Linked DNA regions of Caenorhabditis elegans. The protein of the gene in region 2 purifies or fractionates together with the protein of the main gene of each other region. This does not show direct contact. Each region holds a gene or a part of one and is shown on either strand. Other genes may lie near its edges.

Region 1 (4,949 bases), 2.4 Mb from region 2:
GGAAGGAGGAATTTTGCGACTTTTTGAGCTGTTTTTACTGTTATTTTACTTTTTAAACTTTTCAACTGCAAGACTAGGTCTCGACGCGATCCAAACTTTTTCAAAGGCTTGAAAGGTTGAGCGGCGTGCGTCTTAAAAGGAGTACGGTATGCATACTTGCATTTAAAGAAAATATTCCAAAAAAATTCAAAACAAAGTGTGTGCAAAATTACAGTATTCTTCAAAGGCGCACATCTTTTTCAGGCAATGTCAAAAATCGCAAACTTCAGCACCCGCGGGTTGAAGGCGCATACTGTACCAATCGGAAACTGGGAAAGTTAAGACCCCAACTTAGGTCTCGTTGGATTACCGTAACCTAAATTTGAACTCACACAATCCAAAAGAAACCAAAAACCGTGCATTGTTATATGAGCAAGATGGAAATAATGACGATGGTTCTAGTTAAAATCAGATCTAATCTTGATTATAGATCTTTCCGAATTTTTAATGTGCTAGTAAAAATAGGGTCACGTAATATTTTGGGTTGATTTTATAATTTATTATTATGATACACTCTTTGATATTTTTCAAAAAGATACATGAAAACCTAACAAGGAATTTTTGTATAAAATGGGGGAAAAAATGGAAAAAAACACAGAATTTGATGAAAAGGCAGATTTGTAAAAAGTTGAATCAGGAAACCGTAGGTTTGGAGTGGAACAATAAGACATTGAATTAAAAGTAGAATGGGGCAACAGCTAAAGCACACATAATTTTGGTGGAACAGGGATAAAGGGGACTAGAAAACTTTGAAAAATTCAAAACTGGAAATTAAGATACAATTTTGCAACTATTTGATGTTGGTGAGCAGTCTGGGAAGAGTTCCAGGTCGGGATGATCAAGATCTCCACGATTACTTGAAGATTTCACTTCCTCGGCTCCCGAAACTCCTGGACCGAAATTTTTGACGCATGCACATCGGAATTTTTCAGTAGTTGGTTCGATTAGTTTTCTGGAATATGGGATAAATGGTTTTTTTACACTGATTTTTTAAATGTTTTTATCACTAAATTAAATTTTAAATTATGCTCAGGCTCGGGCTTATGTTTGGGCTTTTTAGAAGTTTCTTTTTTCAAAATTTTTACAAAAAAAATCCGCGTTTTCACAATTGTAGAGATTCCCAACAGATTATTGGAAATTTAAGTTTACTTTTCAAACTTTGACTGAAAATTTTTGGAAAATCTACATATTTTTGAACATATCGAAGAAAAAATTTTTTGGAAAAAATTTAAATTTCAAACCCAAATTATCTGTTACCTTGGAACTCCAGCCCATTGTCTCTCGACACCTCCACTTTTCGTCGAACACCACACCCGTCCTCCATTCTGATTATATTCACTATTACACGGAGGGAAAACTTCAATTTCCACCGCCTGTGCTTTTCTATACTCATTGGCTTTTTCGACTCGTGCTAGAACATCAGTTAGTTCAGGAGTTGGTTGACCTTCTGAATCATAGTAAAGATCAGCGACAACTCCAACCAATGGGTATTCTTTATCGTAGAATGATACCCAATCACGGATTGCTGAAATTATTTTGAAACGTGAAAATTGATATGAAATTAGACAAACTAAATTAAATATCAAAAATAGAACAGAAAAGGTTTTTAACTGATTTAAAATACAAATATTTGAAAAGCTTTTTTTTAAGAGTTGCATTGGAATTCTGGTTCTGGGTGAAATTTTGAATTTCGGTTATTTAAATGAGAATTTTTTTTAACTTGTTTAATTATTTAAAAACAATAATTTTTGTTTGAAAATTCGAAATACCGCCAACAGGCATTCGAAAATCGAGTTTTTTAAAGAATTAGCGTGCTGTTTTATATATTCCAGACATTACAGAAATGGCTTGAAAGTTGAATTTTTCTGTTTTTTTTTCAAATTGACTTGTTTCTATTTTTTTAGATTTTTCGGAATTTCAGGCCGAGTTTGAGTATTTCAAATTACAATTCATACTGATCCGGAATAAATTATGAATTTAAAAATTTTTTATTATACTACGAGAATCTTTTTTCTTTCTAGTATTTCAAATTTCAAAACAAAAAATTATCCCTCACATAGCAATTCATCATGCGAAAGTCCATGAGTCGTTGCAATCAGCCCACTCTCCTGAAAATCCCCAGTAGTAAATGCCCGTGTAGCATCTCGACCGGCAAAATGGTGATATGATTTTCCGGGTCCATAGTACTCTTTCTTTCCGTCTACATTGTATACACGACCCAGAATTGCCAAGTATATTGGTCTGAAAATTAAAGATATTTTAATAATAGTGAACTTTTTAAGAAATCCACTTTGAATCTCGAGTTCCATCGAAAAAGTGCAATTGTTCTGGTGTGAAGACGTGTTTTCCACCGGCGGCAACATCTACTTCTGGATTTATAGCCTGAAATATTTGATATTAAAATAATTAATGCATTTCAACCATACTTGAATGTGTTCTGCTTTTCTGGAAGGTATCGAAACCTCATTCCACGTGGCATCAATTGATGACGCCGTCCATTCTTTCGCGGATCGATAATATTCGGATTCTTCAAGAATAACGTCTATCGTTGATATTACATGTGTGACAGTGATATCATAAGAGGAGCAGATGAATGAGAGAAAGAACACCTGGAAATTTGAAATATTTAAAATTCTAATTAGAAATCAAAAATTATACGGGTTTTCAAACTTTTTCATATTTAAACTATGTCGATTTACGCAGCCCATGTACTCCTCGTGGAGAAGTTTGATTTTTTCGATTTTTAGCGAAAACACTTGGTTTTTGACTATCTTCTTTCGTTTTTTTGTATTTAGTTGACATTCAAATTGCCTATTTAAGTATCACTTAATAATGGTATTTTTGACGAAAAATAAAGTTATTCCTGTGTAAAAACAAGAAAATCATGTTTTCTAAAGATTAGTTACCACAATAACTATATTGAATTTCACCAAAAACACTATAAGCAATAAATAAATTAGCGATTCAAATTCCAACATTTTAGCCAAAAACACTTCTCCTCGAGGAATACACGATCTGCGTAAATCGACACTTGAAATCTTACCAGCGCTGCAATTCCAGCAAGTGTTTTGGTCATTAAACCCGCATCATCCGTTCTCCTTCGGTTCTTATCCATCTGAATTTGGATTTTTAAAAATTAATTCCTGATCTTTAAATATTTCAACTAGATCTTCAACGTATTGAAAAAGTTGAAATGTTGTTCAATAATATGTAAAAGAATTGATTTATGCATACGTACATACTTTCATAGTGAACACATATGGAGTTTTTGTAAGAAAGGCAAAAAAAATGGTTAAATGAAGAATAGAAAATGGAAAAGTTGAGAAAATGATGGAGGGGGGAGCAAATTTTCAAAATCAAATTTACAGGATTCACATAAATACTCAAATGAAAAATATTCTTAACTTTTTCCATACTTTATCATTTTTCTACTTTTCATTGTGATCTTCTTCTTGGAAGAAGAGAGATGGAGAGAGATAGAGAAATGAGGCAGCAACCCGTCAAAGAGTATGTGCAGAGGGAGAGAGTAATATGGTCGAAAAGTAACGGAAATGTAGCGAGAGACAACTAGGATCAGAGAGCATACTGGGAGACAGAGACAAAACCTTTAGGTGAGAGAGGGATAGAATAGAGAAAGAGACGATGGGCAAAAAGAAATAAGTGGGATTCCGGAGACGAGAAAAAACAACGGATCAGAAGAGATTAAATGATGAGAGAGAAATAGAGTTGATGGATGAGATGGAGACGACGACCGCATTGAAGACATTATCGATTTGTTCCGGCGGTGTGAATTGTTATTTTGAAGATAGTCTTGAGCATGGGATACTGAAACAATTTGAATTCTATTAGTTGTAAATTAGAATTAAAATAAAAAATTCCGGGTTTCTTTTGCGCTATTTCTGAATTTGGGAATATTTAGGATATTTTTCGAAATAAAATCCCAATTCGCTACCACACCTTTAAAGTGTCGAGTTTTCTCGGTATAATATAAAAATATTACACAAACGCGAAATTTCGCATAAAAAATACGGTAGCCGGTCTCGGCACGAAACATTTTTTGTTAAAATATGTGCGCCTTCAAACTTTTGATTTTTTGAAGTTTTTCACAAGATTTTTTAAAGCTTATCTGTTGTCATAGAAAAATTAACGTTTTGAAAAGTGTGAAACTACAGTACCCATTGAAGGCGCGTGCATTTTCGCATTTAACCAATATTTGTCGTGCCGAGACCTGGTACCGTAGTTTTGAAGCAAAATTTCGCGTCCAGGCAATATTTTATAACTCTGAAAATAGGAAGAAATTGGGGAAACACGAACCTTTAGGATTTTAGAATTGTTTGTCCTAATAATAACTTGGTGTCTCCATTTGCTGATCATTTGACGCATTTCCTGGCTTTGGATAATTGAGATTTTCACGGCAATAATCAACGAATTGATCAATAAGCACTGGCCATGCTCCTTCATCATCGTAATCCGACAAATCTGGCTTACTCAGAAGAATAAAGTCCCAGAAGAGATTCCACGTGTCACGAGAGATCCACACCGATTTGAATTGCTTCGCATTGGAAGCGCCCACGTTCTGAGCGAGGCGAGACGCCGCCGCGTTCTCCTGTGCCCATAGAAAATCGATCCATTGAGTCATAATTGTTGATCGTTGTCCGAAAAGAACATCCCAGCAACAGATGGCAGTTTCAAGATCCAGATTGCGGCAAGCGGCGGATTTGGCATAGTTGAAGGCAAATAGGTAGAGCTCGTGGAACTGTAACTGATAAGATATTAGATATGAGACGATCGTAGAACCTTTTTGTTTTTAAAAATTGTGATAATTCAAATTTTTGAATCGAAAATTATTATAGAAACGTATTAAAATTTTCCTTCGGTCTGAAAATTATATTTATTAATTTTCACAAAAA
Region 2 (6,997 bases):
TGGATTGGAGACGTTGGGATCTTGGAACGATGTTGATTTGTTTATTTTTTTTAATAATTGTTACTTGCTTTGTTTTTTTGTAAAATAAATTAACTGAAAATTCTCCTGTGTAAGAATTTCATGCTTCTCAAAAACACAACAAAAAACATTTCACGCGGAAAATAGTTCTCGCGTGACCTTTGCCACACACTCTTCCGACCCACGTCATCCACGTGGCAACGCCGAGACTTCTTCCGAAACTCTTTTATTAACATATTCTGCTTCGCATGTTGCTTTCGATTTTTTTGTTCGTGCTCAATAGAATAGAAATTTCTGAAAAAAATGGATCGTCTTATCCGTTCGTTGTTGATGAATCAGAACAAGCAGGCAACTGATAAACTTGATCATCCGGACACTTCTGAAACGTAAGTTTAAATTTTTTATGGATTCCAGAATTTGTTGAAATTTCAGAGTGAACATTTCCTCGTTGGCTTTGCTGAAAATGCTGCGCCATGCTCGTTCTGGAATCCCGTTGGAGGTGATGGGTCTGATGCTCGGAGACTTTGTGGACGACTACACTATCAATGTTACGGACGTTTTTGCAATGCCGCAGAGTGGAACCAGTGTGACCGTGGAATCGGTGGATCCTGTGTATCAGACAAAGCATATGGACTTGCTGAAATTGGTTGGAAGAACTGAAAATGTTGTTGGATGGTGAGTAAAGGGGACCCAAGAATATAGGCAATCTTTTAGAATCTACGACGCAGCAGATATAGTTTTCAGTTTTTATAATCAAAGCCTCTATTGAAATTATATAACAACTTTCAGGTACCATTCGCATCCAGGATTCGGATGCTGGCTATCTTCTGTGGACGTAAACACTCAACAGTCTTTCGAAGCTCTCCATCCCCGTGCTGTTGCAGTTGTCGTTGATCCGATTCAGAGTGTGAAGGGGAAAGTTATGCTGGACGCATTCCGATCTGTAAACCCACTCAACTTGCAAATTCGTCCTCTCGCTCCAACTGCTGAACCACGACAGACTACTTCCAATCTTGGACATCTCACTAAGCCATCGCTAATCTCTGTTGTTCATGGTCTTGGCACCAAGTACTATTCGTTGAATGTCGCCTATCGCATGGGGTCGAATGAGCAGAAGATGTTGATGTGTTTGAATAAGAAGAGTTGGTATGATCAATTGAATATGTCAACTTACTCGGAGCTTGAGAAGAAGCAGGAGGAGAAGTTCAAGAGCATCAACAAACTGATTGCAGTCTTCAATAAGGATATTGACGAAGTTAAGGAGAAACCAATTGCAGATAAGAAAGGAAAGACTCAAGAAGAAGTCAAAAAGTTTGGAAAAATCAATGCAAAACAGCAATTGCAAATGGTAAAAATCGAATAAACGTACAGTGAAAAAATGTTTTAATTTCAGATCACTTCTAGCCTTCTCAACGATTCCCTCTGCCATCAGCTTACTGCAATGATCAACGCAAAATCAATGACATGAACTAGCAACAATTTAAATTGTGTTTCTGAATGACGTTCTTCCCATTTCCATATCACATTCAAATCAATAAATAGAATCATTGTACAGATCTTATCTGACTGCCCTCCTCATCTGCCTACTTACTACCTATTTTCTCGATTCAGCTGAATTTCGGTGTTCCATGTTCGCCCAGTACAGATATTAATTGTATAGTTTGTTGGCAGTGCAATTACACATTTGAAGAACCTGTTTGTGTGGTAGGCAGGTAGGCATACGTAGCCTTGACGGAAGTCAGGAATTTTTGTGCCTACTGCAAAGAATGGGCACTTTCATAGATAAAGTTCTTATCAAAAACAAAACATAAAACCCGTGAAAAATATAGAACTTCCTTCCGAGGTTACCATTTACGTGTTCCAATAACCTACTAACCTTGTTCTCTTGTTTTTGCTACATTTAGACTTCACAATCAATTCAGATTTTCAACAGCTTCACAGAAAGCATCCGAGGAGATCCGTAAGTTATACCAAACCAGTTTCAGCATGATTTGGCAAAATGTGCTTCAGTGTCGGTATTCAAAGTGAGACGTGTACTAGGAAGGAAATAAATAAGAGATTCGCATGAAGCTTTGTCACGCTATATTTTCAACTTTTGTTGTATTCTTTGTGGCTAGTGGAGCCGGAGAAAAACAAGGTAAATTGAAAATTTCTGATTGATTCACAAGAAAATGTCATATTCCTGGACTCTCACATGAAACTTATGTTAATTACTATTCAGGCGAATCTCAACTTCAACAAATCTACGATGAGTTATCCATTCTGTCTCGTGTAACCAACGCAATAGCTCTACAGGCTGCAGCTCTATCCAAAACTGTCAAAATCCGTGAAGTGATCACCGAGCTTCTGAAAGTTGATAATGGTAACTTCTCAAACTTGTTGAGCCTAGATCCTGCACATCTTGTCAAAAACCTTGACGAGCTTCACAAGAAAAGCCTTCAAGCTGTGAGTGGTTCCAATGAACAGTTACAACAGGATCTCAAAGAAATGATAGCGATGAATGGACTATTGGCAGCTGTAGAGTCTGAAAATTACACTGAAAAAGCAACAGTGAATTCTCTGATTGTTCTGAAAAAGGTTGATGAGAAGATGGAAATTTGTGATGAAAGTTTGATCACAATTATGTTCAATATTTCTCAGGCAATGAGTGGAGTTCCATTTGCTGAATCTGACGAGATGAAAATTTTCTCGTCAATGAAAACTATGAAAAAGGCGTTTTATAAATGCATTTCCAAGTTTCCAGCATTTATGCAAAAACTATATGAATACAACTATCCGTTATCTGGTTTCCTGGAACTCAATGACACAATGAATACAATTAAAGCATTGAATGAATTGGACATTGCAAACAAAATTCCTAACATGCTGCAAAAGTTCAAAACTCCATTTTTGAATATTTTGGCTGTGGGGGACCACAGGAACAAAGGAAATACTGGAAAACTGTTACAATCTGCAATAACACTTTTCAAAAAAACAGTTTACTCGAATAGTTCAACACGCTTATTTCTGACTGCTGGATTCCCGGAGAGTGGAGACATGAAACGTGTGGCAAAGGATCTTACAAGTGATTGGTTCAAAAAGAAAGTCTCGCGAGGAAAAAGCACAGCGGAACTGGAGACTGCTCTAAAGCCTTTTAATCAATTTGCTGAGAGTATGGCTCATGTGTTTAAAAGTTGGAACAATTTTCGAGATGATTTTCAAACGGATTCGGCTCTTTTGGCAACTATCCCCGATTTGTTGTCCCAAATCGACGATTACGACCGAAATGTGGATAAAAAAAAGTTTTTGGAGAATTTTGAGGCGACATTTCGAACTTGTTTCAAAAATTACAAGAATGCTCTTGACCAGGGTGAAGAAACCAAATTTCTGAAAAACTTTTCCGCCGTGTATCTGTTGGTTCGGTCTGTTCAGGCAGTAGAACAATGGGCATCTGAGATATCGACTATGTTTGATGAAAAAGCAATGGATGTGTACTTTGAAGAGCTCGAAAAACTAACACCTTCAAATATTAAGGAACAAGTTGAGAAAATCACAAACTTCGACGATTTTTTGAAAATCATCAACAAATTTACAATGCTCAAGTCCCTTCAAACGCAATACGAATCTGCCTACAAAACTAGCAATTCGAGTGAACTTTCTCTTTCAAAAATAATCACTGATGCTGGACTAGTGGACACATCAAAGTGCCTTGAGAAAGATAAATTAGATTCTTCAAAACTTTTGAAAATGCTTCAATTCATGCAACACATGATGCAACTAGATATTGATTATTCAACTTTGAAGGCTAATCTCGATAACTTTTTTGAATTGAAGAAGAAAATGTTGGAGACTGAGAAATTAGTGAAAGGATTTACTTCAAGAAGTGCTCGAGCTGCATCCAATTCAGGAAGCCCGGTTCTCAAAATCAAGGACTCACAGAAGCACGCGGATCATTTGGGAAATGGCTTGCTAGCTATTAAAAAAATGATAATTTCTTTGAAGGAAAAGGCCACAATTTTAAAGTCAACGATGTTTAATGCAAAAGCCAACCAGGAAATAAGAGAGAAGAATCCTATCGACTATATCAAAGAGTTCTGGACAAATCCTGGCCCAAGCATTGAAAAACTTGTATCTGACTTGGAAAAACTGGAACAATCTTCAAAATCCTATCGTAAAGCTGATTTGCTAACTATCCGGAAAGTGTTTGAAGATGGCTCCAAGATTGTTGGAATTCCCGAAGTGTTCTCATATATTGACAGTCAGTTTGAGAAAAAAGGTAGTCAATATTCAAATGAACGGAAGATTACACAAGCGCTGAGCACGTTGGATTTGAATTTTGCATCACACAAAGGAGCGTTGAGTGCAGCGTCGTTGAGTGTGGACAACTTGAAATTGTATTTTGATGATTTGTTCGGATTGACTCCCAAAGTTTCTGTGTGAGTATTTGATTTTGAGTATTTGATTTTGTTGGGAGTTTCTGTTTTGATAAATAACAACATAAGTTTTCTAGTGCAACTTTAGCTGGACGAATATCCGGACTTACTATTTATTGTATTTTTATATTAGCATGGCTGCAATACACATTTTTAGACAATTTTTAGACAATTAATCGCTACAATATGCAATCATTTCAACTTTTTCGTAACTTAGCGAAAGATTATTCCATAAAAAAGAATTCAAGACTAATTGAGGGATCGTATCAAAAAATATATACAGTTATAGTTGCTTGTGGATTAGGAAAAAATATTTCCATAATTTTGGAATATCGATTTTTCAGGCAATCCGAATCCACCTCTCCAATCGTTGTTGTTCTTATTTGTGTTGCAATTGTCCTTGTTTTGGTTATTCTAGCCATAGTTGGCTATGGATTTACATCAAATGGAAGGAATCAATACATTAATCTCTACTTGTACTACTTTGGAAAAACTTCGGATTATGAGAAGCGATGGAGATACTCGGTAAAATTTTGAAACAATCTTTCTAAATGCATTGATTTTATATCTGTATTTATAGTTATTTATGGACCGAGTTGATGGGAAGAATGTCTTGATAGATTCTGTACGTGAAATCAATGCGACTAACTTGCTCAAAGCTGTGAAAAGGGGCGCCTATATCAATGTGTGCAACAGTATGTTATTCTTATTTTTATTTGTATACAATAATAATTTTTATTTCAGAGTATGGAAACACAGCTCTCCATGTTGCCACCAGAAGAGGCTATCAAAATCTTGTAGAGATCCTCATCAAACACGGGGCTGATCGTTCATTCTTGAATCCACAGAATAAGACGGCTGAACAGATGATTCCGGTTAACTATCAGGAAACACACAAAGAGAAGATTGAACGATTCAAAAGTATTGAGTCTATTTACAATAAGTATCGAAAGAAGAAGTTTAAGCTTTGTAGGTTTTGGTTATTTTCGTATATAGAGTTGGTAGTGAAGGTGACGCCTTGACCACATGCAACGTCTATTTCAGATGCATGTACCGCCTGTATATATATTTTCAGAATGTGTAAACATTTTCAGGTGTTCCCGAGAAGTTTCCCGTTAGTTCGTTCCATATTTACATTGAAGATAGGACTGATGATAATGTGACCAATGAGTTTACGACAAAGTTTCAATCGATTGTGAGATTTTTCTTGCAAACTTCAAAAATATAAAAACTTTCAGACCTCCGACGAAGCAATGATCACCACCACTCATGTTGTCGTGAAAACTACTGAAGACGGAATCCTCGAAACGGATGATTTGAACCTTTTAATTTGGATCTTCCACGGATCAATAATTGTTAGGGATACGTGGATGGTTGATTGCCTCAGAGACGAAAAGTTGATTGAAAAAGACTGTGACTATCTTGTCGAAAAAGTGAAATACAAGGGAATCATCTACGATACAGTAACCCAATGGTCCAATGCAATGGCAAAAGCAACTACTCCATTCTTGTACGGTGTTCATGTGGCTCTCTGTATGAAAAATTGCCCATATTGTGAGTAGAATTTAGGTTATCAATATTTAATTTAAATACATTCAGTGGCAAGTCTGACTGCAATCATCCAAGGCCAAGGAGGAACTATGCTGGATAAGTTCCCTGACAAAGATGCCTTTAACAAAGGATCCCATCCCTACCTTCACAAAAATCTTGGACCGATCTTTCTTCTTCACGATGGAACTGTTGGTTTTCCAGATTTAAAATGTTTTCAATTCGTTTCCTGTTTCAGGGCGACTTGGATCTCTACAGATCTGACCCAGACAAAATGTTCACCCTTTTCACCGAGCAACAGTTTATGGATCTGCTGTTCAAACGGGAAATCAATAAAGATACAAATCCGAAGATTATTCCAGTGCTTGTCGACGAAGAAGATTGATAATTGATTGAATGTAGAATGAATATTTAGTTGAAGGAATATTATGTAGAATGGTTTTCAGATATTTGAAATATGGTTGGCATTTTAAATTTGAAATACTCAAGTTGAATATATTAACTAGATTCGAGAAATCGGAATATTGTTCTTCATAATTAAAATGAGACTGTACTCATGTCCTACACAGTAATCACATCTTCAGGCAGCATCCGGGTTTTGTTTTTAATGGATTTCATGACAAATATCTTCTGATTCCTGAATGAAAGGCGCGAAGAGGCAGGTTAAAGGCGCCTCATCACGCCTCGACCTGGTGGAATTTTTATTTCAGATGGTTTGGGAAAATAGAAAACGTTTTCGTAATCTTTATTTCATTTCGGTTTGCTGCTTTCACTCACGAAAGCAAGAATTCTCTATCCTACAAATTGTGATCCGCTATTTTCAAAAAGTGTATCTCGACTCAAATTCAGGTTTTTCCTCATTTTTTCCTCAACGTCTGGCGGAATCGTTTCTCACGCACTGCATCCTCGGCATTAGCGCAATCCCAAAATCTTTTTTCGTGCGCACCGACCAAACAGCTCTTATCTGACATGTTCCATCGAAATAGGCGACTTTTCCGCTGCCCCGCATTCTTCTACCG

The links.
Region 1: the proteins of F37A4.4 (region 2) and tag-131 fractionate together in Caenorhabditis elegans (co-fractionation; one large-scale study listed by BioGRID). This does not show direct contact.

Annotation. Positions count from the first base shown.
Region 1 is NC_003281.10:4,315,907-4,320,855, reverse strand, and holds tag-131 (Neuferricin homolog), read right to left. Parts: upstream 3,155-4,949; coding exon 3,083-3,154; intron 2,649-3,082; coding exon 2,466-2,648; intron 2,422-2,465; coding exon 2,330-2,421; intron 2,281-2,329; coding exon 2,096-2,280; intron 1,565-2,095; coding exon 1,297-1,564; intron 992-1,296; coding exon 811-991; 3' UTR 518-810; downstream 1-517. Other genes in the region: H38K22.6 (uncharacterized protein), read right to left, coding at 372-401; dcn-1 (Defective in cullin neddylation protein 1), read right to left, coding at 4,379-4,795. UniProt on the Caenorhabditis elegans protein: Heme-binding protein.
Region 2 is NC_003281.10:6,711,623-6,718,619, forward strand, and holds F37A4.4 (Ankyrin repeat-containing protein F37A4.4), read left to right. Parts: upstream 1-1,943; 5' UTR 1,944-1,978; intron 1,979-2,028; 5' UTR 2,029-2,082; coding exon 2,083-2,155; intron 2,156-2,239; coding exon 2,240-4,433; intron 4,434-4,774; coding exon 4,775-4,955; intron 4,956-5,010; coding exon 5,011-5,125; intron 5,126-5,174; coding exon 5,175-5,399; intron 5,400-5,524; coding exon 5,525-5,625; intron 5,626-5,668; coding exon 5,669-5,984; intron 5,985-6,029; coding exon 6,030-6,169; intron 6,170-6,216; coding exon 6,217-6,363; 3' UTR 6,364-6,403; downstream 6,404-6,997. Other genes in the region: F37A4.5 (Mov34/MPN/PAD-1 family protein), read left to right, coding at 322-404, 451-693, 808-1,366, 1,412-1,486.